Linked DNA regions of Diceros bicornis minor. The protein of the gene in region 1 interacts with the protein of each later gene in a biochemical or structural test. Links are inferred from orthologs where the notes say so. Each region holds a gene or a part of one and is shown in the gene's direction. Other genes may lie near its edges.

Region 1 (15,444 bases):
CAGACAATAAAAATAGTAATGATCCAAGGGGGCCGTCCCAGTGGCATAGTGGTTAAGTTCACACACTCCACTTTGGTGGTCCAGGGTTTGCAGGTTCAGATCCCAGGCGTGGACCTACGCACCACTTATCAAGCCATGCTGTGGCAGGTGTCCCACATATAAAGTAGAGGAAGATGGGCCTGAATGTTAGCCCAGGACCAATCTTCCTCAGCAAAAAGAGGAGAATTGGCAACAGACGTTAGCTGAGGGCTAATCTTCCTCACCAAAAAACAACAACAACAAAAAAAATAGTAATGATCCAACTAATCCAGACATTGGAGTCCGTCAGCTGGCCTTCTCTTACTGTTCAGCTGGAATTTAAGTCAGGATATCAACCCTGGTGCTCAGACACAGCAAGACCACTATGGTCCTCAGAACTAAGGCCTTAGCACAATGGGTAACCTCTGGGAGCCATGGAGTAGCTTCATAAATTGTAGGCTAGGGGAAGAGGAGTGGAGTTTCACAGGTAAACCAAAGCCCCTTTTGCTAGAGTGAGAAGTCTGTCGCCTCTTCTGTTTATCTCTTCTCTAAATGTTTCCTCTCCCACCTCTTGGGCTGTTTTCAAAACACCTCCATTTTGGTAGCAGCTCTTCACAAGTCTGCTGGAGACCACAGGACAGGCCAACAGCCCATTGCCCAGCTCAAACGGCCCCAGGAACAGCCCCAGATCCCTCCCCCTGCCTCTGGGGTCCCACTGGCCCTGACAGTGGTTTCTGCAACCCCCCTTCCAGTTTCTTCCTGACAAAGCACAGCCGTGGGGCGTCAGCTCAGGCTGTGGCCTCTGAGCAGAGCAGCCACACTCACCAGCATCCAGTGGATGTTCTGGGCACAAGCCAACCTGAGGCCCTCACTCAGCCAGTCACTCGGACCTCTTCACTCTGGAGCTCACACACGCCACTTCCAGCGTGAGGGGAGCAGGAAGCAAAGAGAAATAAAGTTGAGCCATTATATGCAAAGCTCTTGGATAAAGCACAGGCCTAGAAACCCAAAACTGTGGATTCTAGTTCTTTCTGTGAACCCTTGGACAATTCACTCCACCATCTCGGGCTTTGGTTTTCTCATCTGTAAAACGAAGGGGAAGAATTACTGAACTCTGGTGTCCTTTCTGAAAAATAAATCCCCAAACTATTCTCCAACTCAGCGCTCCTTTTCAAATCACAAGACAGGCTGGCTCCTAGCTCAGGGCCAAACTCCCATTATAATTCTGAGACAAACTCAAGGTCATCACAGAAAACCAGATTCGTTTGTTCATCAAGACACTGAGTTCCATGATGGCAAGGACGCGTTATATCCTCTGCACTTCGCACAGTGCCTGGCACATGGTAACCTCTAAATACAACTTTTTTAAATGAATGAAGGCCATGTGGTTTTATTTCACCATTTTCAACTGAAGATGTATCTTATTCACTCGTGCATTCATTCAGTCACTTATTGCACACCCGCCAGGCGCCTGGCGCTGCGTCCCGCTGCAGTGTGACTACCCAGGATTTGAGCAACTTTCTGTGATGACTTAACAACAAAGTAACCGGTGACAGAGGAGGAGAATTAAAGCAAGGAGAGATTTCTCAACACATTAATGAGCAAGTTAGCTAAGAAATACAGGGCTTCTCTGTTCCCGTACCAGAGACTTGTGATAGCCAGCTTCACACTCTCAAAGCCAAAATTAACACCATACAACGGGAGGCCCCAAATAAATTCAGATAAGACCTAAGCCAGGGAGGGACTCCGATTTACTAATGAAAAGGAGATCTCAAAGCCCTCTCTAGTCTCCACGCAGCTCCCTCCGCCCTCTCTTAACCACCTCTTTGACCCGCCACCTCCCTTTGGGGACCCCACCAGGTTGCCTGGGCCCAGCCACTCCTTGGCTCCTCCCTCAGGTAAAGCCAATCTCAAATTAAATCACAAAGAGAGGCAGCCAGTCTGCAATGATCTGTGTTTATTTAGTAAATGGGTTGATTGCCCTCATTTGTGGAGATGAAGAGTTAATTTCCCAATGCAAAGAGAGCAGATTTCTTGGAGGGCAGCCCCAGATAATTAAGAGGAAAAAACAAAATTCAAATACCTCCCACTCCGCCCCTTCCCACCTAGTTTTGGCCTTTCAGTGGCCTCTCTGCCAAGGTAGCCACAGGCCCAGCTTCAGTGAGGTTCTGACCCAGGGGAGGCAAGATTTGGTAAACAAAGGCTTAGGAATTCTTTAGGCCCTTTAAACTGACTTCTGGCAAATTCGAGATCGCAGAACAGTTTCTCTCTTCCCCCTCTTCTCGCTTTGAAAGGCAAATATTTTGAGGTTTGTGTTCTCTCCCATTCACAGAGTTTTTAATCAAGTGGAGTCAAACCACTTGGTCCACACCTTTATTGAAGAGCCTAGCTCTAGAGTGTCAAGCACTATTTTACAATAAGAGGGAGGAGGGAGGGAGAGGGAGCTGGAAAGGGGACTCAGCGGAAATGTGAAAGAGAAGAAAAGCGGTGGGCAAGTGGCCCTTAAGCACACACTCAGGGCATCGCGTGTGCCTTCTCTGCACACGACGGGCACGGACGGCGAGCTGCCGAGCCCCAGCTGTGCCAGTCATCAGGAAGTGGGGAGAGACTGGCTCGCTCTGTGGGTAACTTCCACAGAATGCACGAAAAAGCCCCTACTGAGGGAAGTCCCCGCCCAGGGGAACAACCCCCAAACAGACCCCGAGGCTCTCAGAGCTGGGCCAGGCCACAAAGCCCAGTTCCCTGGCTTTACAGATGAAGAACCAGGCCCAGAGAGGTTAACCGACTTGTCTGAGGCCAAGGGGTCAGTGGCTGGACCAAGACCCCAAGAATTCTTCTCATTTCCCTGGCGGTAACTGAAGCCTTGCCTGTGTTTGATCCTCAGGAAAGAGAAAATGCACCATATCCATCTCAAAACAAACTTTCATATACTTGGGAAGACAGTTAAAGGACTTCATATATTTTTCCAAGTGAAACAACAAAATATTTTCATCTTGTCATCTCATCAGCTATTTTTTACCCTGGCTGCATAGTAGCTGCACTGGGGGAGCTTTTAAGCAGATTCTCCAGGGGTGGGGCCCAGGAAGTAGTTTTTTTAAAGTAGATTTTTTTCAAAAAATTAAATCTCTTCCACCACCTCCACCCTCTCTGAGAATCACCTTTTTAACTTATTTGGGTTATTCCTCCTACTGGTTCCTTCATGCCACCTAATTTACTTCACGCATCCTAAGTTTACATGCAAGGTAAAAACAGTGGCAGTGCATTGCTGACCCGTCTAGCCTGTGGTCTATCATGATTCCCAGGTCTTTTGTTCCCAGCCAGTCTTTCGCCATCCTGTATTTCTGCAATTTATAGTTTTTTATTTTCACTGAACTTCACCTGACTGATAAATTGTACAATTTGATTCAACATATCAAACACCTACCTGTGAAAGGCAAAGGAGAAAAGTAAGACACAATTCCTACACTCAGGGGCCTTCCAGATGAACAGGTGGGTAAGCGAAGCACTAAAACACAGGAGCAAGTACCAGGACATCCCAGGAGCCGCGGAGCCTGCAAAGACAGCTGTGAAGAAGCTGACCTTGGATGAGCACCTACTCTGTGCAGGCACCATGAGCTCAATCAGGATTATGCTTGGCTCAGAGGCAAGAGAAAACCTGTCACGCTGCCTTAGACAGACAGGTTTATTTCGATCTCCTATGTGAGAAACCCAGGAGGAGCGCATCCCAGGCTGGTGTGGTGCGCCACAGCGTGAGGGACCCAGGCTGGTGTGGTGCGCCACAGCGTGAGGGACCCAGGCTGGTGTGGTGCGCCACAGCGTGAGGGACCCAGGCTCCTCCTAACTTCTTCTCCTCTCCCAAGGTCATCGCACCGTCCACAAGGGCCTCTGAACCAGCCATCAGGGGGAGGAAGGACGGTACACCTGCTCCCTTTAAGTTGCACACGACACTACTGCCGACATTCCACGGGCCAGAACTTAGCGGATGGACGTAAGGGAGGATTTTATATGGAGTCTTTATTCCAAGTGGCCATAAGTCCAGCTAAAGGCTGGGGACTCCATTACCATGGAAGAAGGGAGGAACAGATACTGGGGTACAACTAGCAGCTTCCACACCACGCTAAGGACTTCATATGCTTTACAGCATTTATTTTCCACAACTCAGGAGAAGAGGTCTTCTGGGTCTTTATTGCAACACTTTTGCAATTGTTCAGTCACTCGATTGAGTCAACTCAATGTCAACTGCAGTCCTAGGAGGTATCTTTTCAAATTCTTATCCAAGCCATTGAGCAAGACGAAGGTGGCTGCAAGACTGAGCCTCTTCAGTCAACCCCAAATGGATGCCTCTCCTGGGCTGGTGCTGATCCTCGGAGGTCAGCCTGCTACAGCTGTGGGCCTGTCCCTGGAGACAGGCAGAAGAGACCTGTGTTTTCACCCTTCTTCCAGGCCTGGCACTCTGGTTAGCGAGGTTCTCTCTAGTTGTGAGGAACACACAGGCAGTCAGGTGGCTTCATTAATGGGCAAGGTAGGATTCCAAGGGAAGGAGCTAGGAAATGCTCTTGTGTTCTGTCTTCTTGTCATCTCCTTTTGAACCAGGTTTTTCTCCTCTCCTTCCCGCTTCCCTCCCACCCTCCCTTCCTTCCTCCTTTGGCTCCACTCTGAAAGGATCTGCTCTCCTCTCTCCATCTACAGCTCCTGCTGCCACCATCTGATTGCTCTCTCTGCTCACCTCACTGCCTCATGGCTCTTGCTTCCTCCAAGCTTCTACTGCTTCCTGGTCTCTGCCTGTTCCCTTCTCACTGAATGTCTCTCTGTGTCTGCCAGTATATTTTACACTCAGGCTCCCCGAGTGAAAGGACTGATTGGGTGGCCACCCAACATCCAGTGGGTACACCTGTTGGACAGAGGTCTCACGCCAGACAACCTCATGGCTGGGTCAGATGCTTGCCTATTCCTGCTCAATAGTCTGAAGTGAGGGGTCACGTGGCACAAGGTACAAAGATGGCAACATTAGTCTGAGGAAATGCTGTGAATGAACTGTGGGAGCAGCAGTTACATTTTAGAGTAGCCACTGTGAACTTGTTGAGACCCATAAATAAGGGCCCAAACCCAGAATCACACCCTGCAGCCAGACATGTATCCAACCACCTCTCTCCCTCTCTCTCTTACACACACACACACACACACGCACCCCTCATACGCCTCATCCTCCCTTATGGTTCTCATTATTCCATCCTTCAGTTCAAAATGTAATCAAGTAGAGTGAGGACTTGATGCAAAACCCTATGAACAGCAGCAGAGTATTGTCTGATAGAGCGCTGGAAAGTGAGAGGACGGCACAAGAAAAGACCTGGCCAGGTTCCACTCTGCTATACACATGGGCGCTAGGAGTCAGAATCCACCCAAAAGCACGAACAACAAAAGACATTCTATAAGGCATCAGTGACACAGTATAATGCTTTGGATTACAAGTCTGGGTCAACAGTTCTCAAACCTGACAAATTCAAAAGAATCACCCAGTGAGGTTTCAAAAATTAAGTCCCCAAGTCCAACACCAGACATTCTGACTCAACACGTCTAAGGTGGGGCCCAGGCTCCTAAAATTTTTTTTTTTACTCCTCAGGTGATTCTGATGACCAACCAGATTTAGGATCCACTGCTGTAGCTCCCATCCTCACTCTTCTAGAAGGTTCCCTGGGGGCTTTCATTACCCCTGTGTGTCCTGTTCCTGCAGCTTCTCCTCCTAGGTCTCTGCTGACTGCCAGACACAATAGATAACTAATACAACCCTCCTCGACCAACAAGGATAATGGTCAAAGAGATTCAGTGACTGAATCTATCATACAAATCACCTCTGTAGGGTGGGGCCTGGCTTACCTAACAGGATTTCAGCATGGCCCTCCTCTCTTTCAATCTAGACATCTCTAACTTTCATAACACTTGAAAGTCCGCTTTAGGGATAAGAATGTTCCCATTTTTGGAATGATCCAACTCCCCAAACTAAAACGAAGTCAATGGCAACCAGGCAACTGGAAATTCCAAGTCCTCAACGTTATAAAGTCACAAACTGTCTCGTAAGAGAGGCCAGAAAGGGAAGTATATGCTCAAACTGCTCTTTCTGGTCCTGCATGAGTGATTCTTGCAGCTGGAGTTTCACTGCAACCACAGGATTGTGGCACCACGAAGCAGGCCATTTTCAAATCTGGCCTGACATCAGAATGTAATTCGACTAGATAAACCTGGGACTTGGCCAAAATAAGTAGCATTTAAATAACTGGTGCCAATGAATAGCATCACTTTTCTGCGGTACCATATGACTATGATGTGAAGAAACAAAAGCCTTTGTTATTTTAAAGGGCAGAGACAATTGGAAGATTTGCAGCAGACAGTTACAAAATTTTCCACCCTTGGCTCTCCAAAGAAGATACCAGTTAGTGGCTTTGGGAGTCGGGTGTGGAAGACGTTGCTTGGAAAAGAAAATTAGATTGATCCTGGACAGAATGTGAACCAATGTTACTACATTTATCATACAGCCTAAAACAGACTATTTACCCCCTACATTGTGAACTTACTTTTCTGATCTACTCCCTTTTATTACTTACCTCCTTGAAATCACAGCATTCTATATCAGGCCAGGCATGGAAAGCTACTGCACCCCTCTCACAAACAGCACATTCTTATTTTTCAGAATAATTTTGGAGTGGGCTTTTTAAAAATCATCTTAAAAAACAAAACACAAAAAATTGGCCTTTGCTTCTCTGCATTTTGCACTTGTCTGCCTGGGACAGAGCAAGAGGACTCCCATCTGTGATACTTGCCATCTGGGATGCATTTTCTGCATCTTATACGTAGATTGTTTCAAAAATATTTCATTCGTCCCTTGTATTTTTTAAGGGCTCTCTTTTTTTCTTCCTAAATAGTTATCCCTATTACCTAACGTCAGGGAGCTGTCTGGGGCTATAAGAGGAGTAGAAGCTCATCAACTGAACTGGTTTTCGTTGTATTTGAGACACAGCATTTTATCCTGTTGGTTTTCTTTTCTTTTCTTTTTTTTTTGATGACAGTGCTTGCTATTTCTCTCTCAATAAGCAAAGATGACTTAGATCAGTGGCCTGATGAATAAGCATGAAAATTTGATTTAGAAAAGGAGGATATCCTGAAGCTCATGGAGAGAAGAAAAGATTTCCAACCCCCCACCACACACACTTTAAATGACAAAGCAAAGCAGCAGCATTGTCATTAAGCAACGTCTTTCAAAGCAATATCAATGCTCTCTGGTGTTAGGCAAGAGGAATAATAACTTAGAAAAAGAGGAGCCCTTAAAAAAATACTAGGAAAGAATGAAACATTTCTAAAGCAAATATCACTGATCCTTCTAAGAAGAAGATTACCTTAAGGGCAGATACCCCAAAAGAAAAGAAAAAAAAATACGGTTCCAGGTGTGAGGAGGAAACTGATGCTTTGGAGGAAACAGACGAGGATTCCCGTTGAGGTCCGGATGGAGAATGCGAGCAGTCTGACACCCTACGTTGGCCCAAATGACTCAGCCCTCCAGACCCATTAACAGCAGTGGGAAAAGACAAAGAACCGTGAAGAGGAAGGAAAGATTCCCAGTAAACTTGAGTAATAGAAAACAAATAAGAGAAAAACAGAGGAAGCCAAAGTCTCCTATGGAAGGGAACCCAATTAATTGTCTTAGATTTCAGAATCGGTTTTTTCTTGCTGGACAAGAAGCTCACAGGGCAGCAGAGGCAGCAACTTCTGCAAACACGCAACCTGATCAGAAATCCCTCAGGGCTCCAGCGCCGGAAGGGCTCGGCCCGGAGTAACGTTTCTTAAAGCACAGAATTGCCGTGTGTGTGTGTGTGTGTGTGTGTGTGTGTGTGTGTGTGTGGTGTGTGTGTGTGTGTGAGAGAGAGAGAGAGAGACATTTTTCCTTTCTCCACGTGTCCCTCTCCTGCGCGGGGCTCCAGGGAGGGGCGCGTCCCCGGTAACTGCTGACCTCGCCCGGAGGGACCCGAGCGCCCTGCGCAGGACGAAGATGGGACCGGGAACAAAGAACGCTCGCCAACCAGGAAACGCTCCCCGAGAACAAGGATAACCTCTTTGTGTTTTGAAAACTCTTTAATTAGCAAATGCCCTGGTGTGTAATACGCATTAAAACTTTCCTACGCAGATTCCAAATAGAGGATCCCATCACCGCTTCCGCAGCGACCACATGCCGAGCGGCCACCCGCAGAGGCAGGGCGCACACGGCCGTCGACGACGCGCCTCACACCGCACCGCGTCCTGGGCACGGGGTCTGCGGTCACTTGACGAGCTTTCCCCAACCCGGTCTCAGCGTTCCCGCAGCCCCACTCAAGCCTCCCCAGGCCCCGAGGCCCCGGGCGGCTCGCCTGGGCCGGGGGTCCCCCGTGCCCTCCGGGGTCTGCGCCTCCTCCGCCGGCTCCGCCGCTGCCCCTCCACCACCGGGGGCGGGGGGTGGCCTCACGGGGGCGGGTGGGGTCTGGGGAGAGAACAGCGACCCGCGAGGCGCACGCCCTCCGGCCCGGCACCGAGCCCACATTCCGGGCCCGCCGCGCCCGGCGTTCTCAGGCCGGCGGGGCCCACGTGCCTCGGGGTCCCGTGCCCCGCGGCCGCGACGCCGCGCGCTCCCCGGCTCCTCCGCGCAGGAGCCCCCCGCGGGGCGCCCTCCCGGCAGGAACGTGTAGCTCTCGTCCCGGAAGACGAACACGTCTTTCGGGCAAATTCGCTTTCCGGCGCGTTGGCCCCCGGCTCCCCACCCCAGAGCGAATTCAGGGTAAAAGTTGTTCTCAACTTTCCCTCCCAGCCCCCCCTCAGGAATCCGCCCAGAGCGCTGCCGACACCGCCTCCCGGCCCCCCGCCGCCCCTTCCGACGCCCGCCCAATCGGGAGGCGGCCGCGCGGAAAACAAAGGCCGCCATTGGACCGCCGCGGAGCCGAGGGCCCGCCCCGGGGCGGCTGTGAATGGGGGAGGGCGGGGGGCGGGGCGGCCGGCGCGTCCGCGCCCGGCGCTTCTTCTGGCGAGCCGCGCGGCTCCGAGGCGTTACTCTGCGCTCCCTCCGGCCGGCGGCGGCGCCGGCACCCACGGGCCGGGGCTGCGCGGGGCTGAGGCCAGGCCCAGGCCGCGGGCACCGGGGCCTCGCAGCTTTGGACGCGGTGTAACTGGATTTCCAGAAAGCGCTCGCCGAGCTCTGGGCTCCCAGGCGCCGATCGGACTCCGAGCGAGAATCAGCCGCTTGGCTGAAACTTGGGGCCGAGCTCTCGGGGCTGAAGAAGGAGCGCGAGTGGCGAAGGAGGCGGCGGCGGCGCGCGGAGCCTCGAGGCGAGGAGGCGGAGCAGCCCCGCCGAGGCGGCGTCCTCGGCTCCAGGCGGCGGCGCGGGCTCTCGCTGCCGGGGGCGGACTCGGCGCGGGGGGCGCGCGTGAGTGCGCGCTGCGGCTCGGGAGACTCGCGAAAACTTTGAAGGGTAACCGGAGACGCTTGTTGCTCCTCGCCGCGGAAAGAGCCGCACCGTTACGTCGCGGCGGAAGACGGCGGCCCCTCGGCGCCCCCGGCCCAGGCAGACGAGGTCGGGCCCCGGCGGCCGCGCGAGTGCTGGGCGGAGAGGCCGCGGCGCCCCCGCGGCGCGAGCGCCCCAGCTGCAGCGCCCCCGGCTCCGCGCCGCCCACGGCCCGGCCCCGGCGCCGGGGAGACTCTCATGTGCCGGGCGCGCCGGCGCCTCCCCGGATCCAAGCCTCTCCCCGCTGCCTCGTCGCGCTCCTCGGGCTGAGAGCGTCGCTGCACCGCGGCCGGCGATGCGGGGCCCCGGCGCGGCCGCGTCGCGCCTGCCCCTGGGCCTGTGCACCCTGGTGCTCGTGCTGCTGGGCGCGCTGCCCGCGGGCGCCGGGGCGCAGCCGTACCACGGCGAGAAGGGCATCTCGGTGCCGGACCACGGCTTCTGCCAGCCCATCTCCATCCCACTGTGCACGGACATCGCCTACAACCAGACCATCCTGCCCAACCTGCTGGGCCACACGAACCAAGAGGACGCGGGCCTCGAGGTTCACCAGTTCTACCCGCTGGTGAAGGTGCAGTGTTCGCCAGAGCTGCGCTTCTTCCTGTGCTCCATGTACGCGCCCGTGTGCACCGTGCTCGATAAGGCCATCCCGCCATGCCGCTCTCTGTGCGAGCGGGCCCGCCAGGGCTGCGAGGCGCTCATGAATAAGTTCGGCTTCCAGTGGCCCGAGCGGCTGCGCTGCGAGAACTTCCCGGTGCACGGCGCCGGCGAGATCTGCGTGGGCCAGAACACGTCCGATGGCTCCGGGGGCCCGGGCGGCGGCCCCACCGCCTACCCCACCGCGCCCTACCTGCCCGACCTGCCCTTCACCGCGCTGCCCCCGGGGGCCGCCGACGGCAGGGGCCGCTCCGCCTTCCCCTTCTCGTGCCCCCGCCAGCTCAAGGTGCCACCGTACCTGGGCTACCGCTTCCTGGGCGAGCGCGACTGCGGCGCCCCGTGTGAGCCGGGCCGCGCCAACGGCCTCATGTACTTCAAGGAGGAGGAGAGGCGCTTCGCCCGCCTCTGGGTGGGCGTGTGGTCGGTGCTGTGTTGCGCCTCGACGCTCTTCACGGTGCTCACCTACCTAGTGGACATGCGGCGCTTCAGCTACCCCGAGCGGCCCATCATCTTTCTGTCGGGCTGCTACTTCATGGTGGCCGTGGCGCACGTGGCCGGCTTCCTGCTGGAGGACCGCGCCGTGTGCGTGGAGCGCTTCTCGGACGACGGCTACCGCACGGTGGCGCAGGGCACCAAGAAGGAGGGCTGCACCATCCTCTTCATGGTGCTCTACTTCTTCGGCATGGCCAGCTCCATCTGGTGGGTCATCCTGTCTCTCACCTGGTTTCTGGCGGCCGGCATGAAGTGGGGCCACGAAGCCATCGAGGCCAACTCGCAGTACTTCCACCTGGCCGCGTGGGCGGTGCCCGCCGTCAAGACCATCACCATCCTGGCCATGGGCCAGGTGGACGGAGACCTGCTCAGCGGGGTGTGCTACGTGGGCCTGTCCAGCGTGGACGCGCTGCGGGGCTTCGTGCTGGCGCCTCTGTTCGTCTACCTCTTCATCGGCACGTCCTTCCTGCTGGCCGGCTTCGTGTCGCTCTTCCGCATCCGCACCATCATGAAGCACGACGGCACCAAGACAGAGAAACTGGAGAAGCTCATGGTGCGCATCGGCGTCTTCAGCGTGCTCTACACCGTGCCGGCCACCATCGTGCTGGCCTGCTACTTCTACGAGCAGGCCTTCCGCGAACACTGGGAGCGCACCTGGCTCCTGCAGACGTGCAAGAGCTACGCGGTGCCCTGCCCGCCCGGCCACTTCCCGCCCATGAGCCCCGACTTCACCGTCTTCATGATCAAGTACTTGATGACCATGATCGTGGGCATCACCACCGGCTTCTGGATCTGGTCCGGCAAGACCCTGCAGTCGTGGCGCCGCTTCTACCACAGACTCAGCCACAGCAGCAAGGGGGAGACTGCGGTATGAGCCCCGGCCCCTCCCCCACCCCGACCTCCCCAGCCCTGGCGCGGGGCGAGGCGCGCCCGGGAAAACGGCGGGTGGGGGGCTCGTTTCTGTAACCTGCTCCCCCTCCAATGAGAAGTGACCTGGAAGATAGGGGGTCTGTGTCGACTGCGGGCGAGGGGTGGGTTTGCAAAGGAGGCCTGGGTGGAGAGACGCTTTGGGTGAAGAGACTTCTGGCAAAAAGACTTGCAGGATAATGATGATGATAATGGTAACGATGGTGTGAATCATGTACGGTACGGGCCGACCTGGGCCTCTCGAGAAGCTTGAGACCAGCAGACATTGCCGTGCGTTCTCCCGGCTCCGGGGCTGACCCGGGACTGCGAGGATTCCCCTGCTGCACGGCGAGTGGCCGGTCCGCACTCCCGTGAGGCCGGGGTGAAAGGTACAGCGCTGTCTCGTGGCCTCTTTGTCCGGAAGAGGGAGGACTCCCCGCGGCGGCCTTGTCAAGCGGTGGTCAAACCATAATCTCTTTTCACTGGGGCCAAACTGGAGCCCAGATGGGTTAATTTCCAGGGTCAGACATTGCAGTCTCCCCTCCCCGGCCCCTCCCGCCTGTTTTTCCTTCCGTTACTCCTTTCAAGTCTTGTAAAATAAGCATTTGGAAGTCTTGGGAGGCCTCCCTCCTAGAATCCTAATGTGAGGAGGCGGAAGAAATGAAGATAACATTTCCAGGTAAGGCAAAGGGAATGAGTAGTAGGTATGTCTGCTATTTTTTTATTTTCTGGGGAGGGCGGGAGGAAGAAAGAAGGGTGTTTTATTTGGTTTAATACCCTGAAAAGAAGTGACTTGTTGCTTTTCAAAACAGGAATGCATTTTTCCCCTTGTCTTTGTTGTAAGAGACAAAAGAGGAAACAAAAGTGTCTCCCTGTGGAAAGCAGAACTGTGAAGACAGCAACTTTTATAGACTAAGTGGCGCAAATCTGAGGTTTCCCTTTGGATGTTAATTTGGTTGAGAGAAACATTCCTTTTTAAGGAAGCGTGAAGGGCACTGTGCTTCCATACACCCCTTTCGGTCAGAGGTTCCGACTTGGCTAAAGGAAATGCAAGGGGTTTTGTTGTGTTTGTTTTAAATAAATTTAATTCAGAACACATGAACGCAGAACACAGGCTCTGTTAAAACGTCCAGGGAAATTTTGCTCTTTATTTTTTTTTCTTTCTATAAACCTGTATTTAGGTTTTCCCTCAATTTTTTTCCTCAAATTTGAATCCTTCAAGATAAAAGGAAAAGCATAATGCCTTCAACCTCATAATAAAGAAAAGTTAAATTTTTTAAAAAGTAAAGAACTATTTTGTCCTGTTTTAGTTCCATAAATCAGTTTATGAAACATCACGTGTATGCTGACCCTGTCTTTGTGTGGCTGTGTGGGGAGGTGACCTGCAGAAATGATAGTGAATGAAGAGGACAGTTTAAACCATGGGCCCCATTTTTTTTTTTTTTTGTGAGGAGATCAGCCCTGAGCTAACATCCGCCAATCCTCCTCTTTTTGGAAGACGGCCCTGGGCTAACATCGGTGCGCATCTTCCTCCTCTTTTTTTGCTGAGGAAGACGGCCCTGGGCTAACATCGGTGCCCATCTTCCTCCACTTTATATGGGACGCCGCCACAGCATGGCTTACCAAGCAGTACTTCGGTGCGCGCCCGGGATCCGAACCAGCGAACCCCGGGCCGCCGCAGCGGAGCGCGCGCACCTAACCGCTTGCGCCACCGGGCCGGCCCCACCATGGGCCCCATTTTTAAGGAAAGTCACTAAAAGAAGCTAAACTTCAAAGTAATTCTGGAGTTCTTTGAAATGTGCTGGATGACTTAAGTTTATTAATGTTAAATCATGTACTTTTGTTTCTATAATAGAACTCGGGTTCTTTTGCATAATAGTCTAAAGCTGAGCGGAGAGGCCTGGGAGCTAACCTTAACTCCACCCTTGACACCGCCCTCCAATCTTGCGACACTAGCCCATTTCTCAAAACAGTTTTTAAATGCTGTCTTAAACAGTTCTTAAATCATAGAGGGTACTGTCAGGAGTGCACGTTACTTTATAAATGTAATGTTCAGCTGAGTGGAGCTGCTTTTTAAATTAAACGTTGACCTTGTGTTTCTTAAACCTCCAAAACTGTCTCATTTGTCAGATTTTTAAAACTCCCGCGGCACAGTTTTTGGCATCTTTTGTGTTGTATCTCTTGCATGTGAAATTTGTAAAATAGAGACAAGTGCAGTATGTATATTTTGTAAATCTCCCATTTTTTGTAAGAAAATATATATTGTATTTATACATTTTTACTTTGGATTTTTGTTTTCTTTTGCCTTTAAAAGTCTACAAGGAAGCCCCACTTTATCACATGTACAGATCACAAATAAATTTTTTTTTTTAAATACAACGTGAATGTTTATTTAGTTTACGGTCCTTATATGTCATTAAGCCGAAGAGCAGAACTTTGTGTTATGGACAGAAGGTATGGAGGGACCCCATTCGAAGGAAGGTGTTATATATTATTGAGGTTGTTTATCCTTGCCTTTTAAAATACAGAGTGTAATGAATGCCTTGACTGTCCATTAATTTGTTTTCTGTTGTTGCTGCTCCCTGCATCCCTGCACAGCACCCCCCCACACACGCCCATAAGCCTTTTCACATCCAGCTTTGGATAACTTATTGAAGGTACAGAATAAGCATCTCTTTTAGAGAGGTGCTCTCTGATCCATGTTTTTACTACCCTTTGGAGATGAAATCCATATTTGAAAGACGACTAGAAGATATTTTTGGTGTGCTTGTGTGGTGATGTTTTCCTTGGGAAGAATTCAGTGAATTTTTATAAGTGATTGGTGTTTTTGAATTCTAATGCCCCTTATCCACATGGTTAATACTTAAATCCTTTGGGTCAGGTGGCTGGGAAAGTCAGTAGATGATTCCAGATAATAGCAGGGGTCTTGCATGTGGAGCCTTCTCAGCTGTGGGCTTCACTCCACCTTCTAGGTCAATTGAGCCAGAGGTCAAGTGATTCCCCGAGGCGGCAGAGGTGGCGGTGACTCAGCAGTTCCGGCAGGAATAGACTCCACGCTGACCCCAGGATGGCCTCAGAAGCCACCAAAGCTATTCTTTCCTCTTGCCGGAGAGGCTCACTTTGGAATCCGATCAGACTGAGAAGCCTTGCTATCCAGGCACTTTGATATCAAAGAGTCCCTCAGGGAAATGATAAAGGCGTTTTAAATACTTCCAATGCCAAGCTTCACTAGCTTTTTTTTTCCACGCGCCTCTCCTTTAATTCAGGTGCTGGCTTCCTGGCTTTTGCTAGCAGAGTCCCCCGTTCTGGGGCAGCCGTGGAGACCCAGCAGCAGACTAGATGCTGTTTCTCCTTCCCTGCTTCGCTCTAAGTTTCTGTACTTCTAAAGATCAACAGAAACAGTCCGGTTTTTGTTTTAATTAACAGGCTCACACTCATGGCTGATGTGTTTTACAAACACCTGGAATGAAAACCAGTGACAGACAGTCCTCCCCAGGAGGAGGGAGCCGCCGCTGCTGTCTGTGCAAAGCAGCTTTAGGGTCCTCCTGGGTTTTGAACATCACGATGGGTGTGAGGTCATCTTAACCTGTGAAGATCTGGGCATCAAGGAAGGGAAAAAAAGCGACTTCAAGTCTCTTAAGGTTTATCCAGTTTTTGCTCATAAAATGACACCTTTTAGGTTAAACCATGCCTCTTTTAACACCACACTAATACTGCCTGTTAAGAATGTTTGCTTTTAGAGTAGGTGGAAGGCTCCCAACGGGGTTTTTCGCTCACAAATTAACTGCTAAAGGCACTTAGACCCTTCTGTGGGAGAGCTGTGTCTGCTCCTATAAATGTGTCCCCTTCCTCTTGT
Region 2 (14,810 bases), on another chromosome or scaffold:
GAGGGGGCCGAGTCTCTGCCCGCCCTCCCCTCACCGACCGGACAAGTGGCCGCAGCCGTACCCCTCCCCAGGCCAGCCAAGGGTGGGGGGAGGACAAGGGGCCGGGCAGGAGCCAGAGGGGGCGGTCTGCAGACTGTGGACACAGCCCAGGGCTCCGTGATGTCATGGCGGGTGCTAAGGAGGGGGAGGGGGCCGGGCTGTTTTTCTGGAGAGTTAGAGCCGGAGTGAGACAAAGCAGGCCGGCTGGCCGGGCAGCGCCATGGAGCTGCGGTCCCGAGTCCTACTCTGGAAACTTGTGCTTCTTCAGAGTGAGTGCAGGCGGGTGGGGGGCAGGAGGCGGAAGCGGGGAGTGGGTCTGAGTGAGTTCGCATCCTGGGCAAAGCTGCCTGTTTGAGCTCAAGCGGGAGGGGTGGCACACCCTCAGGAAGGGGATGGGTCTGGGGGCCTCAGAGGGAGCGGCTCACCACGATAAGGGCCCCCCAAGACCCAGGAGGGTGTGAGGTCTCACTTAAATCTCTGTCCCCCCAGAACTTCCCTCGCACAGACCCGGGGCCAGAGGGCTCAGAGGGCAGGGAGGCCGAGGTGGCGGGTGCCTCCCACGGGGGTCCCTCACGCACCTCGCTTCTCAGGGAGGCCCTTCAGGCCTGCGCTTCTCCTAGTTGTCAGGAGGGGAGTGGGTTGTGGGATTGAGGGAGGCCTGGGAACCATGGGGCTTGCAGGGTCTGTTCCAGCCTCCCTCAGCTCCCAGGCCCCCTGAGCCCGCCCTCAGGGCTGGCCTGCTGATCCTGCGCATTCCTCCCATCCCGGGCGCTCAGCCACATTTCTGGAGCAGAAACTTGGCTTGTGGGGTGGCGGATGGTGGGGTCACTCTCCACCTCCTCATACTTCAGACCTCTGCCCTTCAGGAAGGCCGAGGGGGCCCCAGCACCGAGCACTGAGTGTGGGACAGGGCTCCCAGCGGTCTGAGGACCCTCCAGGGCTTGTGTGGTGTGGCCGTCGGCAGGTGCACGTGCTATCCAGGATATGCATGTGCAGGGGCCCCCAGAACGGGCGTCAGCGCGTCAGGCTTTGGTGCTTTGGTGGTCTTGCTGCAGTGAAGGTGAGGGTGGCCCTTGGTGACAAGCACACACTCCAGAGCCGGCCTGTGCCGGGTCTAACCCTGGCCCCACCACTCACCCCCACAGGGCAGGCGCTGTCCATGCAGCACAGGCAGGTGGCCGTGAGGATTAAATGGGGGCCATGGGCACAGTGCCCACCCCTGTGGGGCCAAAGGAGACCCCCATCTGTGTCCTCCTGGCTTCTCTGCCTTTACCCACCTGTAAGCAGGTGTCATGAGCATCCACCTCAGCCAGGGCTATAGAAGAGACCCAGGCAGCCAAGTGGGGTGCCCAGATGCAAAGGCTCAGGTCGTCCCCTCCCCAGTATGACTCGCTCTTCCTCACCTTCCAGGCTTTGCTGTCCTTCTGTCCTCAGGTTAGTGACCACCCTGCCCCTGAAACCGCGACAGTTCCCTCCCTTCTCGCCAGCCCCACCCAGTACCTGTTCCCTTGGGTCCCACCCCTCCCTCAACGGACTCCCCCTCCCCACCAGGGCTGTCTGGGCCCCAGACGGCCGGCAGCTCCGTAGTGTCCGAGTCAGCCGTGAGCTGGGCGGCCGGCGCCCGGGCCATGCTGCGCTGCCAGAGCCCGCGCATGGTGTGGACCCAGGACCGGCTGCACGACCGCCAGCGCGTGATCCACTGGGACCTCAGCGACGGCCCGGCCGGCGGCTCGCCGCGCCGACTCGTGGACATGTACTCGGCGGGCGAGCAGCGCGTGTACGAGACGCGCGACCGCGACCGCCTCCTGCTGCCACCCTCCGCCTTCCACGACGGCAACTTCTCGCTGCTCATCCGCGGTACGGGGCCTCGGAGCCGCAGGGGGCGCCTTGGGGGATCCGGGGCGCGCGGGGCTCGGGCCGCGGCGGAGCTCACGGCTGGGTTTTCTCCTGGGTGCGTAGCGGTGGAGGAGACAGACGAGGGCCTGTACACCTGTAACCTGCACCACCACTACTGCCACCTCTACGAAAGCCTGGCCGTCCGCCTCGAGGTCACCGACAACCGTGAGTGTGCCCGCCCCCGCAGGCCCCCGACCCGGTCCTCACGCACCCCTGTCCCCCTGGACGCCCCCTCCCGGCCCCTCCCTCTCCTCTCCCCTCCTTGGTCCGGGATCCCTGACCGCCTTGCGCCCCCAGCCCGGGCCGCTGGCGCGCACTGGGACGGCGAGAAGGAGGTGCTGGTGGCGGAGCGCGGCGCGCCCGCGCTGCTGACGTGCGTGAACCGCGCGCACGTGTGGACCGACCGGCACCTGGAGGAGGCGCAGCAGGTGGTGCACTGGGACCGGCAGCCGCCTGGGGTGCCGCACGACCGCGCAGACCGCCTGCTCGACCTGTACGCGTCGGGAGAGCGCCGCGCCTACGGGCCGCCCTTCCTGCGCGACCGCGTGGCGGTGGCGTCGGACGCCTTTGCGCGCGGCGACTTCTCGCTGCGCATCGACCCGCTGGAGCCGGCCGACGAGGGCACGTACTCCTGCCACCTGCACCACCACTACTGTGGCCTGCACGAGCGCCGCGTCTTCCACCTGAGGGTGACCGAGCCCGCCGCAGAGCCGCCCCCGCGGGACTCGCCGGGCAACGGCTCCAGCCACAGCGGCGCCCCCAGGCCAGGTGCAGGAGGCCGCCCTGGGCGCCCGGGGAACGTCTTGGAGGCTGAGAACGGCAGGAGACACCCAGGCCCCTCCCACTCCTGTCCAGAATAAGGGACCTGGGTGTTAGCCAAGGGAAGGCCCCATGGACTGCGGCCGCCTGTCCCTTCCCGAGACCCACGCAGCGCAGCCGGGGCGGCCTGGGTCGGGGCGCACCCACCGCGCGGTCGGTCTGCAGCGCGCACCCTGACTTCGCCCCCGCCCGGCCCCTGCAGATCCCACGCTGGCGCGCGGCCGCAGCGTCATCAACGTCATCGTCCCCGAGGGCCGGGCCCACTTCTTCCAGCAGCTGGGCTATGTGCTGGCCACTCTGCTGCTCTTCATCTTGCTGCTGATCACTGTCATCTTGGCCACCCGTCAGCGCCGCCGCGGAGGTGAGCCGGGGCTCGGGGCGCGGGGGGAGCCAGGGGAAGCCGGAACCGGGAAGCCTGTCCCGACTAGAGGCGGGACTTTTCGTGCGGTGGCCTGAGCAGAGGGGGAGCTTGGTGCGGGCGCTGGGAGGGTTCCTCGCGGCTGGGGGAGCTGGGGAGGGGGCAACACTGTCCCCAACACGAGTCTCCCTCCCCAGGCTACGAATACTCGGTCAAGAAGTCGGGGAAGTCAAAGGGGTGAGTGACCCCTCCCGGATCTCCTGGAGACCAGGCCCCGCCCCACTGGCCACGCTAACCTGCCACCACCCTCCCCCATCCAGGAAGGACGTGAACATGGTGGAGTTTGCTGTGGCCACAGGAGACCAGGTTCTTTACAGGAGTGAGGACATCCAACTAGGTGAGGGGGCCCTGGACACCAAGGCAGAGACTGTGGCTCCCAGGCCTGAGCTGGGGGAGGCACATCTCAGGGAGGCCCCTCACCCTGCCTCTCCCTACCTAGATTACAAAAACAACATCCTGAAGGAGAGGGCTGGGCTGGCCCACGGCCCTGTGCCCGCCAAGTACGTGGACTTGGACAAAGGTAAGTGGCTGGGAGGGAGACCTCCTCTGCCCATCTCACAGCCAGGCCCATACCCCACCCCACCCACTCGCAGAATCCCGAAGGCACCAGCCAGCCCCACAGGCAGCAGTCCCCTGTCACCTCAGGGCTCCAGAAGTCCCTGGGCAGTCCTGCTGGATGTCTCCCTGCATTTCCTCCTGTGGCGGAGGAGCAGAGGGCAGACGCCCACCTGTTCCCTTGGCTTCCAGAGTTCAGGAAGGAGTACTGCAAATAAGGTGATCCTGGGCTCCTGGCTGGGCCAGCAGCTCTGCCATCTCCTGTCTGTCTGTCTTGGAGGACGTCCTCCTGATCCTCATGCAGCTCACCCGGCCCCCCTTCCAGCGGCTGGTCCCGCTGTCCTGGAACTTGGCCTGGACTGGTGCAGAGTGAGGCTGCCTCCAGACCCCTCTCCCAGGAGCACCCTAACCCTCACGAGCAGCAGTGGGCTCCTTGGGACTCTGCAGGCTGTGGCTGCGCCCCTTCAGCAGCCCTGGGCATGTGCCCACTGGCTCCCATGCTCGCTGGTGTCCTGGTGTACCCCCCACACTGCACAGCAAGACCCCTCTGATGTTCACCAAGCCCTCAGGCTCTCCTGGCCTCTGTCTTGGAGGGGGCTCAGCTGGGACTCGGAGCTGTGGTCAGCCTCAGGGTTGGCACTCCCACCCCTTCCTTGGGGGAGCTGCCTGCTGGCTCCCCGTGCGCTACCCAGCCAGGCTGCCGTGGGGACCTGAGGACTGCGCACTCCAGGCCCCACTGATGCCCCTGTGCGCTGCATCAGGCCACCTGGGGCTGCCATGGGTCCCTTCTCTGCTTCCCTCTGCTCCAGCCTTGTTTCCGACCAGCTGCCTTGACAGTCACTGGGCTCCATGTGACTTTAGACCCTGACCCCCCTCCCACGGCCCCTCGCTGGGCTGGAGTCTGGCTCTGAGGCCTCATTTGGCTTCTGTTTTGGCTAAAGACAGGGGCGGGGGTGAAGAGGGTTCTAGAGTGGCCTGTGCTGCCACTCCCGACACCCTACGTTTGCTCCTCCTGGGAAACTGCCGCCATTGCAATAAAGACCACATTTGATTTTTAGACCTGGCCCATGTATGCCTCTGCAGCACCCCCTGCATCTCCTGGGGGCAGAGTCTGGGCCTCAGGAACTCCCAAGTGCTTTCCTTCATCTGAAGTCCTCCTGTCATCGCCCATTCCTTTTGAGTGGAAGTTCTGGGTCCAGGTATCCTGGGAAAGGGGACATTGGAGCCAATTCTACAGCACTTGGTTGTGAAGCAGTTTCAGACTCCTGAGGGTTTATTTGGATATGGGAGAGGGAGCATGTTGGTGGATATGAGGACAGAGAGGGGCACTGTGTTATGTTAGTTCAGTCCTCTGAGAAACAGACGCTGAGATGGTTAGCCAGCAGGATGAAGGGGGAGGAGGCGGGAGAGGCAGGAAGCCTTCAGACGGAGTGGGCATGACACTGGTGAAGGGAGAGGGTGCTGCGGTAGGAAGAAACCTGTGTGTCTCCCCAGCCCTGACCCCATCCTTTGGAGCCCTCCCAGGACAGCAGGGACAGGAAAGAATACGCAGGTTATGATGGCTGAGTGAGGAGGCACAAGCCCCCCGCACGCCCTCAGCATCTGAGCTCCCCCTCTGGGGAGGTGGAGACCCTGGACTCATTTTGACTGAAGGTGCAGCTGCAATACAGCCACACACAGGAGGTCGTCACAAGGTTTATTACTTACAGATCCCAGAAACGGGGTGCAACAAGCCAGGGACGCCTCCGTCCCAGGTCATGAACCAACATGAGACAGAGCAGGATGGCACCTGTTATGTAGAAGGTGTTGGGGGCGAAGGTCACTAATTTTTTGCAGGCTCAACTCTGAGTGGAAAAGCGGAGGGGAACTTGTGGTGGGAATCCTAAGCTCAGGTCCTTATCTTAATTTCCAGACTCGGTGTGAGCAGGTTGTCATACTGTGAAATGCTGAGGCAGTGACTCACAATGGCTGTTTTCTCATCACACACCCACACGGACCCCACAGTGGCAAAGGCAGGGAGGGAGACTGGGCCGGGGAGCTGTGGCTTGCTTGAGAGTGTGCCTCCTTCCCAGCCCAGTGACCCCTGGCCCAACAGTGGCTGCACTGCCACTGGATGAGGCCCCTCCTGTAAGGGCTCAGGCGCTGGCCTGCCACTCAGCCCTCCTTGCAGGGCCCCAGCCGGACTACATCAGCATCAGCACTTGACTGTTCTCTGGTCTTTGGTTTACTGGTCTCTCTCCTACGACTTGGGCTGAGGGTCAGGTTGGAGAGGGAGGCTGGGGGAGAGGCTGGAGTGCAGCTGGGACGTCGGACCCCCTGCATCTGTGTGACCGTCAGCCATTTGTGTCTGGTGTAGGGGATGCTGGTCCCCTGGTGGGTTCTCAGGGCAGGGACTGTCTTCCTCCTTCCCTGGACACCCAGTGGAGAGCCACGGATTCTTCCTCTAAGGCCATCCTGCCTGGCTCCTCAGCTTACCTCTGGGGAAAGCGAGACCCAAGGGGAGAAGGCCCAGGCTTTGCTGAGTGGGTGCCAACCTCACAGAGCCCTGCCTGCCCTCCCCATCCGAGCCTAGGGGTATGGAGGTCAGGACCCCTGGCCTGGGTTGACCTGGGGGTGGTCCCCAGCCTGGGCTTAGGGACTTAGGTCCAAGCTCTGGCTCCTCCAGTCACTAATGGACTGATGGGGTCTTTTCCTGTGTTGGCCCACTGCCCACGGATGGTCAGGACCAAGCAGATGGCAGAGTCCTAGGCTCCAACCAGCTTCAAGGAGGGTCCTGGGTTCAGGTCACAGGGGCGTCAGATACTGCCCACTCCCATCACTCTAACGCCCCATCCTAGGGTCTCTCCTCTCTTCACTCTCGCCAGCGTGGGACTCTCTCTAGTGGCCTTGAGTGTTCCTCCAGGGGTGGAGGGAGAGAGAGCCGCTCCCCACAGCGGGAGCAGCATGTGACTGGACCCTTCACAGCCCGAGGGGCGCTGCTCCGAGTCTCCCTTGCCCCGCGGAAGACTCTAGGCTGGTTCAGTGGACAGCGGCCGGAATCCCTTCACCTGCTGCCAGAAGCACCGTGCCTGGGCACCTCTGTGCACACGTGTGTGCGCACAGCTGCTCGCGCTGACCCTCGCTGTCGTCTGGAGCTTCACACACACGTGCTCACACTTGCACTCCCGCGTCCACGCGAGCACTTGCCTTCACTTGGCTCGGAGTTTCTCGGAGCCTCAGTGGCACCCGGCAGAGGGCGCGCGAGCTTGGAGCTAGCGCGGGGGCGCAAAGCGACCGAGTATCCTCAGCTTCCCGCGGGGACCCCCGCAGCCCGCTGAAGTGACCAGGGCGCCTCCGGACTGTGAGCACCCACGGACCTACGAGCCCTCGCGAGGGGGCGGAGGACTGGAACCTGGCCGAGCGACTCTCCTGGGGGCTGCAGCCGATCCACAGGGCTCCCAGCGGGCGCGTGGCGTGGCCTGGGGCGGGGTCTCCCTTCTGACAGTTGGGGGCGCGACGTGCAGGTGGAGGGCGAAGCTTCCTGAGGGTCCCCACGCACCTCTTGCCCCGGGGTCGCGCCCCTGTCCGCCCACCGGCTGAGAGCCCAGGCCCAGCGCGTCTTGTGCGCGCCCCTGCGGCCCGGCCGGAGGGGTCCCGGCGGGGGGCGGGAGGCCGAGCGCGGGGTCCCGAGAGTGGGTCGGGGGGCGCGCGCGGGCGCGCCCCGCCCCCGCCCGCCCGCGCGTGCGCAGCCCCGCCCGCCGCGCGCCGCGGGGGCCCGGTGACGTCAGGCCCCGCCGCGCTCTCGGGCGCCCCCCGGCGGGCCGCGCGCTCAGCCCGGGGCCAGGCGGTCCCTTTAACTGCGCGGCCCGAGGGGGCGGCGGCGGCGGCGGCGGCGGCGGGGCGCACGGACGCGGCCCGGCCTCGCGCGCCCTCCCTGTCTGCGTCCCCGGCCGGAGCGGATGGGCGGCCGCGGGCCGCGGGGCAGCAGCCGGGGCGCCAGCGGAGCCGGGGCGGCGGGGCGGACAGGGCCGGGGCGGCCGGGCGGGGGCGCCGGGGGCCTGGTCGCGGCCGGGCCAGGAGCGGCTGGCGGGCGGGGCGCAGGCCGGCGGCGGGGAGGCGCCCGCGTCCGAGCCCCGGGCCGGGCCTGAGCACCGCGCCATGGCGGAGACCAAGATCATCTACCACATGGACGAGGAGGAGACGCCGTACCTGGTCAAGCTGCCCGTGGCGCCCGAGCGCGTCACGCTGGCCGACTTCAAGAACGTGCTCAGCAACCGGCCCGTGCACGCCTACAAATTCTTCTTCAAGTCCATGGACCAGGACTTCGGGTCAGTGGGCCGTGGGGCCTGTGCGCGGGCATGGGTCGGCACCTGTCTGCGCCCGGGCAGGGCCCTGGGGATCCTGGGTGCCTCCGCGCCCCGGTGTGGTGTGTTTCCCACCTGTCTGTGCCCTGAGCTGCCTGCCCAGGAGCCTGAGAGCTCTGGACGGTGGGCAGGGTAGCGTCCTGGCTTCTCCACCCACCCTGGGCCCAGTCTTGTGTGCCTGAGTGTATGTGAGCTGTGGGTCAAGGTCTGTTGCCCAGGCCAGGGCGACCCCGAAGTCCCACCGTGGCACCTGTCAGACTCAGGGTCCCGCTGCCCTCCTTCTGTGGCAAGCAGGTGCTCAAGGCTGGCCTGGAGGGCTTGTGATTAAGGGGGCCTGCGGTCAGAGGAGTGTCGGGGTGTCCAGGGGAAAGGGTGGGGGCAGGGTCCCCTAGGAAGCCTGGGGGAAATCTGTCTGCTGGGGTCTGCAGAGGTTTCCAGAGGCTCAAGATGGCCTATCCCTGGTCCCCTCCACCAGAGTGCTGAGGACAGGGCAGAGGTCAAGGGTCACTGGGGACTGTGAGACATCATTCCACCCACCCTTGCCCTGGGGTTGCTGGCCGTTGGGCCTGTGTCCCTGCTGAGCCTCACAGCACTGGAATTCTTGGGAACAGCCCAGTCCATCTGCTGGCTCAGGGCAGCCTCTGGTTCAGTGTCCCCGTGTCCAGCCTTAGTGGTGGCCATCTCGGCTGAGGGGACTTCCCACTTGCACTGGGCTGGACCTGTGGGACGGTGAGCAGGAGGCTGGCTGTCTGCTCGAGGCCTGACCCGGCACAGCCTCAGGTAACCTGAGTCCCTGGCTCAGCAATGCTGGGGGGGGATACCCAGAGGCCTTGTGGGCCAAGCAGGTGTGTCTGGCCACCCTCAGGCAGCCGCGTCCTTGTGTGTGGCTGCGTCTTGGGACTTTGACATTGAGGCGTTTCCTGGATTCTGTAGTTTGCACGGGCCCTGGGCAGCCCCAGGTCAGGTCAAGCTAGGGCCATTCTGCAGCTCTCAGGGGGACCTGAGAGTCTCTTGGGCCCCACCACCACCAGGGAGAGGCATAGAGAGGAGGATGTGTCCTTGGCAGCCTCAGAAGGCTGGATGTCCCCAGCCCTGCCTGGCTGGCCTTCCTGCTGGCTCAGCTTAGGAGCCGCCATGGGGCCAGGCTTCTCGGGTGGGTATTGTAGTCTGGTCTGGCCGCGTCGCCTGCCCTCGCTGGGTGGTCTCAGTCTCAACTCCTCTGTCTTCACGCTGCTTTGGCTGTGAGCATCGGGTATGTGAAAGGGTGTTTTTGTTTTTAACTTAGTTTATTATATTAACAAAAATTACCAAAGTCACACATGCTCTCTGTCACAAACTCAAGCCAGCAGGGCATATGTGGCAAGGCATCTGCCTGGCCCCACAGGTTGCTGCCCTCCAACCATGCTGTGGGTGCGTCCTGAGGGGCCTGCCACCCGCTCCTGTGTCTGATGGCCACTGCGGGCTGCCCATGAGCTGCAGAAACCCCCACCCCACGTGCACTCCCAGCAGAAGCCGGGCTTTTTGGGGGATTTGTAGGATCCATGCGTGCCTTGGCCTAGGAGGTGAGTGGGCAGGCAAATCTGGGTGTTGAAGCAGGAGTAGGAGTTCCTTAGGTTGTCTGGGCAGGCTTGGGAATGGCTGAGATGGGGGAGGGAACAGGACTGGGCAGAGGGCAGCTTCAGAGGCTGAGGCTGGGCCGGGAAAGGGGGATGGATTGAGGTGACGCTGGAAGGTGCAGTGGGCAGACAGAACAGGGAGGCTCACCTTACTTCCTCCCTGGACCTCTGGGCTGGTGGCCTGGTGGCCTCAGGGTCCTGGGAGAGGACCCAGCTGTCTCATTTCTCCCTCCCCTGAGACCTATGTGGAGAGATCCAAGCTCTATTTATTGTATAGAATCATTTATTCAGTGGAATAAATTCCTTCTCGAAGGGGCTGATCAGTCACTCAACGTTAGTGTGAACGTGAGCTTGAGGCTCACCCTGGCTACTGAGGGATGTAGCTGGAAGTTGGGGGAAGGGAGAGCAGGTCCTGGCAGGGCGGAGGCAGTGGTCTCCCCCATGAGAGGGGTGGCCTCAGCTTGGGGGCCTCCTGCCCCAACCCCCCATCCCACTGTGGGCTGGGCCCTGAGTTCCCCGAGCCTCTGTTTCTGGCCACAGCTGGCGCCAGAGTAACAGAAGGGGGAGTCTGAGGTGTGGCTGTGGCCCACAGGCGTCTTTGGCTGAATGTAGGGGTTCCTACCTTCACCTCCCACTTTTCCCCATATGGGTCACGGCTGTTCTGACCCAGCAAAGCAGGGGAGGTCTCTGGGCCTGTGGTGGTTTGGTGGGAGCAGTGTGGGAGGGCCTGGCCCGGCCTCTGGGCTGTGAGGCAGAGGTTGAGGGGGTTTGGCCTGCAGTCTCCTCACTGCCAGGACCACCTCGTTGCTTCCAGGCCTGGCTGGACTTGGCGCTAAGCTTGTCTGCCTGGTGGTGGCCCCAGGCTGCCCATCTCTGGGCCAGGAGCTCCGGTCTCTGGGGCCACCTGCCTGTGGGCCCTGGGTGGCGTGGTGTGGGGGCTGCGGGGCAGGGGTGGGCACTTGGCCTGGCCTCAACTGCCTGGGTGAGCTCCCGCTCTGCCCTCCGCAGGTGCCATCTGGGGCCAGTGCCCCTGCCGTGTTGGGAGAGTCCAGACAGGCCACGCCCTGGAGCTTGTGGCACAACCTGGAGGACGGGGACCCCCCTCACCCTGGAGTCTGCGGAGCCTGAGCCTAGGGGGGTGGGGGGGGCTCAGTACCGCCTATGGACGCGCTGGGCGAGGAGTGGCCAGCTCTGGGGTCAGGAGGCAGTGAGGTGACGGGTGAAGGCTCAGTGGGAGCTGAGGACCCCTGACTTGTGGGGGCACGCAGGGGGCTCTGAGGGCTCGGGGACAGCTCTTCCTCCCCTGTCGTGCGCCAGCTCACTCTGCCAACTTCCTGCTCCATGGCGAGAGAACGGGTGGGGGGATCCTGTGCCTCTGGGGACATAGTTGGAGCCATTGCACTGGGAAGGGCTGGCCTGTGGCATGCTGTGGCGGGTCCTCCTTGGCCCGTGGCTGTGCTCGCTCTAAGGGCCCTGCTCTGAGCAGATTCCTCGTCTGGGCGAGTCCGCGGGGGCGGCGGGCGGAGCTGGGCAGCCACAAGTTCGAGGTTAACCCGGATCTTGCTAGGAATTCTGAGGTTGGGGGCACGATGCCAACGGGGGTGCCCCCAAGGCCGGTGGAAACTGCTCCTGAGGTCTGATCTCCCACCCAGCGAGGCCTGACCCAGGAGGGGGCCCCTAGGGTTGTTTGGAGGCGTTTCCATGCTTGGCAGAGGCTTCTCCCCCACCCCGACTTTGTCCCTACCCTGGGGCTCCTGGGAGATTGTGCTGACCGCCGGTGGACAGCACCACACCTCGAGGAGAGCACCCATGCCCTTTGTCCTGGGAGCTTTGGCACCTGCCCCTTCCCTCCCTGCTGTCCTGGCCAGGCTGCGCTGGGGCCTGTGGTGCTCCCCGGTGCCCCGACCCCCAGGTGGAAGGCAGGCTGCTCTGTCGTGCAGGTTGGAGAACTTGGGTTCCTCAAGCTGGGGAGGGCCAGGGAAGCAGGGCCTCTGAGCCCAAGGAGGGACGTCCATGCAGGGTGAGGGATACAGAGGCCTTGGGCAGCCCTGGGTGGTGGGTCATCGAGGCCCTGGCTGGGTGGGTAGTGGGGGCTCTGGGTGCTCCCAGGCCCCCTTGCCTGGGGCATCTGCCTTTGGGAGAGCCAGGTGGGCCCTGCAGTGTGGGGCCGCGGGTGCTCTTCTGCCTCCCCATGGGTGAGTCAGAAAGGGCTGGGGCTTGGGTGTGGCGGAGGAGGCTGTTGGCCAGGCTACCTGGGCTGTGAGGTGGGAACCACCAGGTCCTTCCCTGGTCTCTGTTGCTGCAGCCACTCAGAGATGGTGCTCTCAGTCTGCTGGGCCCCTGGGAGGGCTTGCTGCAGCCCTGTCTCTTGGCTGCAGCTGGCAGAGCCCCAGGTGTCTCTGGACCACCCCAGGTCTTCCTGTGGTGACAACCTCTCATGTGGCCTCCTTACCCAAGTCCTGGGCCAAGTCATAGCCTCCCCTGGAAGCTCAGCTCTGCAGGGCTGTGGTGCATGAATAGGGGCAGCAGACATGGGTCTGCTCCTCGCTGGAAAGAGGGGGGTCCTGAGAAATGACCCTTTCTGCCCTTTGGGAGCGTCCACCTCATTGGTGCGTGTATGGCTGGCCCTGGGAGGTGTCTGGGGGGCCGTCACAGGACCCGGGCTGGGTGCCCCCTCCCTCCCAGGCTGGCCCTGTCTTCTCTCTCCACTCTGCCCCCAGGTCTGGGGTCCCCTCCTGGTGGATGGCGTGGACCGGGGCCTTGCTCTCTGGGTGGGAGTGTGGGGTGCTAGCTCTGTGGAGGGCCTCCTGCCATGTGCTGCTGCCCGGGACTGGCCGAATCAAGGCATCCGGGCCCAGCAGGCCATGAGGCTGCTTCTTGCCTGGTCTGTCGGCTCCCGTTTCTCCACTGGGCCCAAGGCCTGGGCGTGGAAATCACGCTGTGCTAGGCAGGGCTGAGCTCCAGGAGGCGGGCTGTCGGGGCTGCTCCTGCTGCAGTGCCCGCCCTGCTCCCTGGGCCTCCAGGAGGCCAGGGTGTGGGGTGTGTCTGGGCCACAGCCACTGCCTGCCCTGCCCCACTGCCTCTCCCCTGTGAGCCATGCTGGCTGCTGCTCTCCTCACCTCTTTGAGCCTGACACCTAGACCCCCCATCTCAGGCTCATCATTGCCTTGGCTCTCTGTGTCCTGCCTTCCCTACCGCCCAAGCCCACCTGACTGGGGGCAGCATGAAGACACAGGCCAGGGGACTGGTTTCTGGGCAGTGGGTATGGCCCATGGAGCTCGCTGAACTTGGGGGGCTAAGACTTCTCAGTAGGCCCAGCTGGCTTTGTGCCCTTCCAGGTCTTGAGTTGGGCTGGTGCTGCAAGTGGGGATCTGCTTGTCTCCCTGGCTGAGCAGACGGCCCTGGACGGTGGTGGCCTGCCATCGGAGTGTGTGTGTGTGTGTGTGTGTGTGTGTGTGTGTGTGTGTGTGTGGGTCTGCATGCCGTGCCGTCTTGACCTACCTGTGTCTGTGGGGGTCTGACCGCCCTCACATCTGTGCTGAGGCCTGCTGTGGACAAGGCCCTGTTTTGGGCCCAGGGGGATGCAGAGAGTGAGCCAGACAGAGCCCCGCCCTCACAGACCCACACTCCGTGGGGCACACAGACAAGTAGATGTTATAGAATGCTACAGGCAGTGACCCCCCCAGTGGCGGAGGGTCAGGGGTCTGGACCCCCTTGGACCTGGCTCCTGGGAAGGGTCCCCAGGAAGAGAATGTGCTGGGCAGGGGCATCCACACAGACTGATGTCTGGGCATGTGACACGTGCCCTGGGCAAGGGTGGGGAGTCTTACCTCCAGAGCCCACTGGTGGTAGCTGGCCCCGGTTCGGGTGGTCTCATGGCCGTGTCTGCCCACAGGGTGGTGAAGGAGGAGATTTCTGATGATAACGCCAAGCTGCCCTGCTTCAATGGCCGCGTGGTCTCCTGGGTGAGTCTGTGGGACGTTGGCAGAGGGTGCTCAGCCAGAGTGGGGGTGGCCCCTGTGTTGCAAGATGGGAGCTGGGCGTGGGCGAGCGGGTGTGGGGTGGGAAGAGGCTGGTCACCTGTGCCTGGGCACCCTGCTGGGCGGGGCCTCCCTGAGCCCTCATTCTCCTTCACAGCTGGTGCTGGCCGAGGGCGCACACTCAGACGCAGGGTCTCAGGGCACTGACGGTCACGCAGACCTGCCCCCACCTCTTGAGCGGACAGGCGGCATCGGGGACTCCCGGCCCCCCTCCTTCCAGTAAGGACCCTGGGGGGCGCTGAGCCTGGTAGTCCCAAGGGGCCTGCTGCCTGCCAGGCCTGTGGTGGGGAGGAGGGGCAGCTGAGCAGGGACCCACGGTCAGTAGGAGCTGGTCAGCAGAGGAGGGGCAGGCAGAGAGGCCCAGACCTGGTGGCTGGCTGGGCAAGGGCCCCTGCCAGATTCAGGGTCCCACCAGGTGAGGGGAGGCGAGGAGCCAATGGCATCTGAGGCGTTGGTGGCCCGCCTGCCCCAGCCCACCCCGCTCTTTGGCACAGCCCAAATGTGGCCAGCAGCCGTGACGGGATGGACAACGAGACCAGCACAGAGTCCATGGTCAGCCACCGGCGGGAGCGACTCCGACGCCGGAACCGCGAGGAGGGTAACAACCCCAGACCTCCCTGGGCCCCCATGGCGCACCCCAGGTCCCTGCCGACCCCTGGTTACTGCCCCCCACCAGTGGGGTCCTGGGTAGAGGTCCCAGGACCAACTGCCTGGGACCCCAGTGTCCCCTCAGCACCCCCATAGTGACCCTGCCAGCTCCCAGGTCAACAATGCTCGAGGCCACACAGGCTGCCGTGACCTCCAGGGGATCCCACGGCCAGCTCCCCTCCCTGCTGTCCCCACAGCTGCTCGGACCAATGGGCACCCGAGGGGGGACCGGCGGCGGGACCTGGGGCTGCCCCCTGACAGCACATCTACCATGCTGAGCAGCGAACTCGAGTCCAGCAGCTTCATTGACTCGGACGAGGACGACAACACAAGCCGGTGTGCAGGCGTGTGTGTGTGTGTGTGTGTGTATAGGAGTGTGCATGTGTGTGCGTGCACACGAGCACGTGTGTATGTGCATGTGTGGGTGTCACAGGTG

Evidence for each region.
Region 2: the proteins of FZD7 (region 1) and DVL1 form a complex in vitro, tested with the Homo sapiens proteins (2 studies listed by BioGRID and IntAct, with this or other methods). The link is inferred for Diceros bicornis minor from reciprocal best matches to the Homo sapiens genes FZD7 and DVL1.

The regions. Positions count from the first base shown.
Region 1 is NC_080749.1:79,840,930-79,856,373, forward strand, and holds FZD7 (frizzled-7), read left to right. Parts: upstream 1-9,158; 5' UTR 9,159-9,831; coding exon 9,832-11,556; 3' UTR 11,557-13,019; downstream 13,020-15,444. UniProt on the Homo sapiens protein: Receptor for Wnt proteins.
Region 2 is NC_080752.1:22,308,222-22,323,031, reverse strand, and holds the start of DVL1 (segment polarity protein dishevelled homolog DVL-1), read left to right. Parts: upstream 1-7,777; 5' UTR 7,778-7,864; coding exon 7,865-8,034; intron 8,035-13,581; coding exon 13,582-13,651; intron 13,652-13,823; coding exon 13,824-13,945; intron 13,946-14,220; coding exon 14,221-14,324; intron 14,325-14,571; coding exon 14,572-14,710; intron 14,711-14,810. Other genes in the region: MXRA8 (matrix remodeling-associated protein 8), read left to right, coding at 1,024-1,099, 1,450-1,473, 1,591-1,896, 1,999-2,100, 2,233-2,703, 2,957-3,115, 3,310-3,349, 3,433-3,509 and 2 more. UniProt on the Homo sapiens protein: Participates in Wnt signaling by binding to the cytoplasmic C-terminus of frizzled family members and transducing the Wnt signal to down-stream effectors. Plays a role both in canonical and non-canonical Wnt signaling.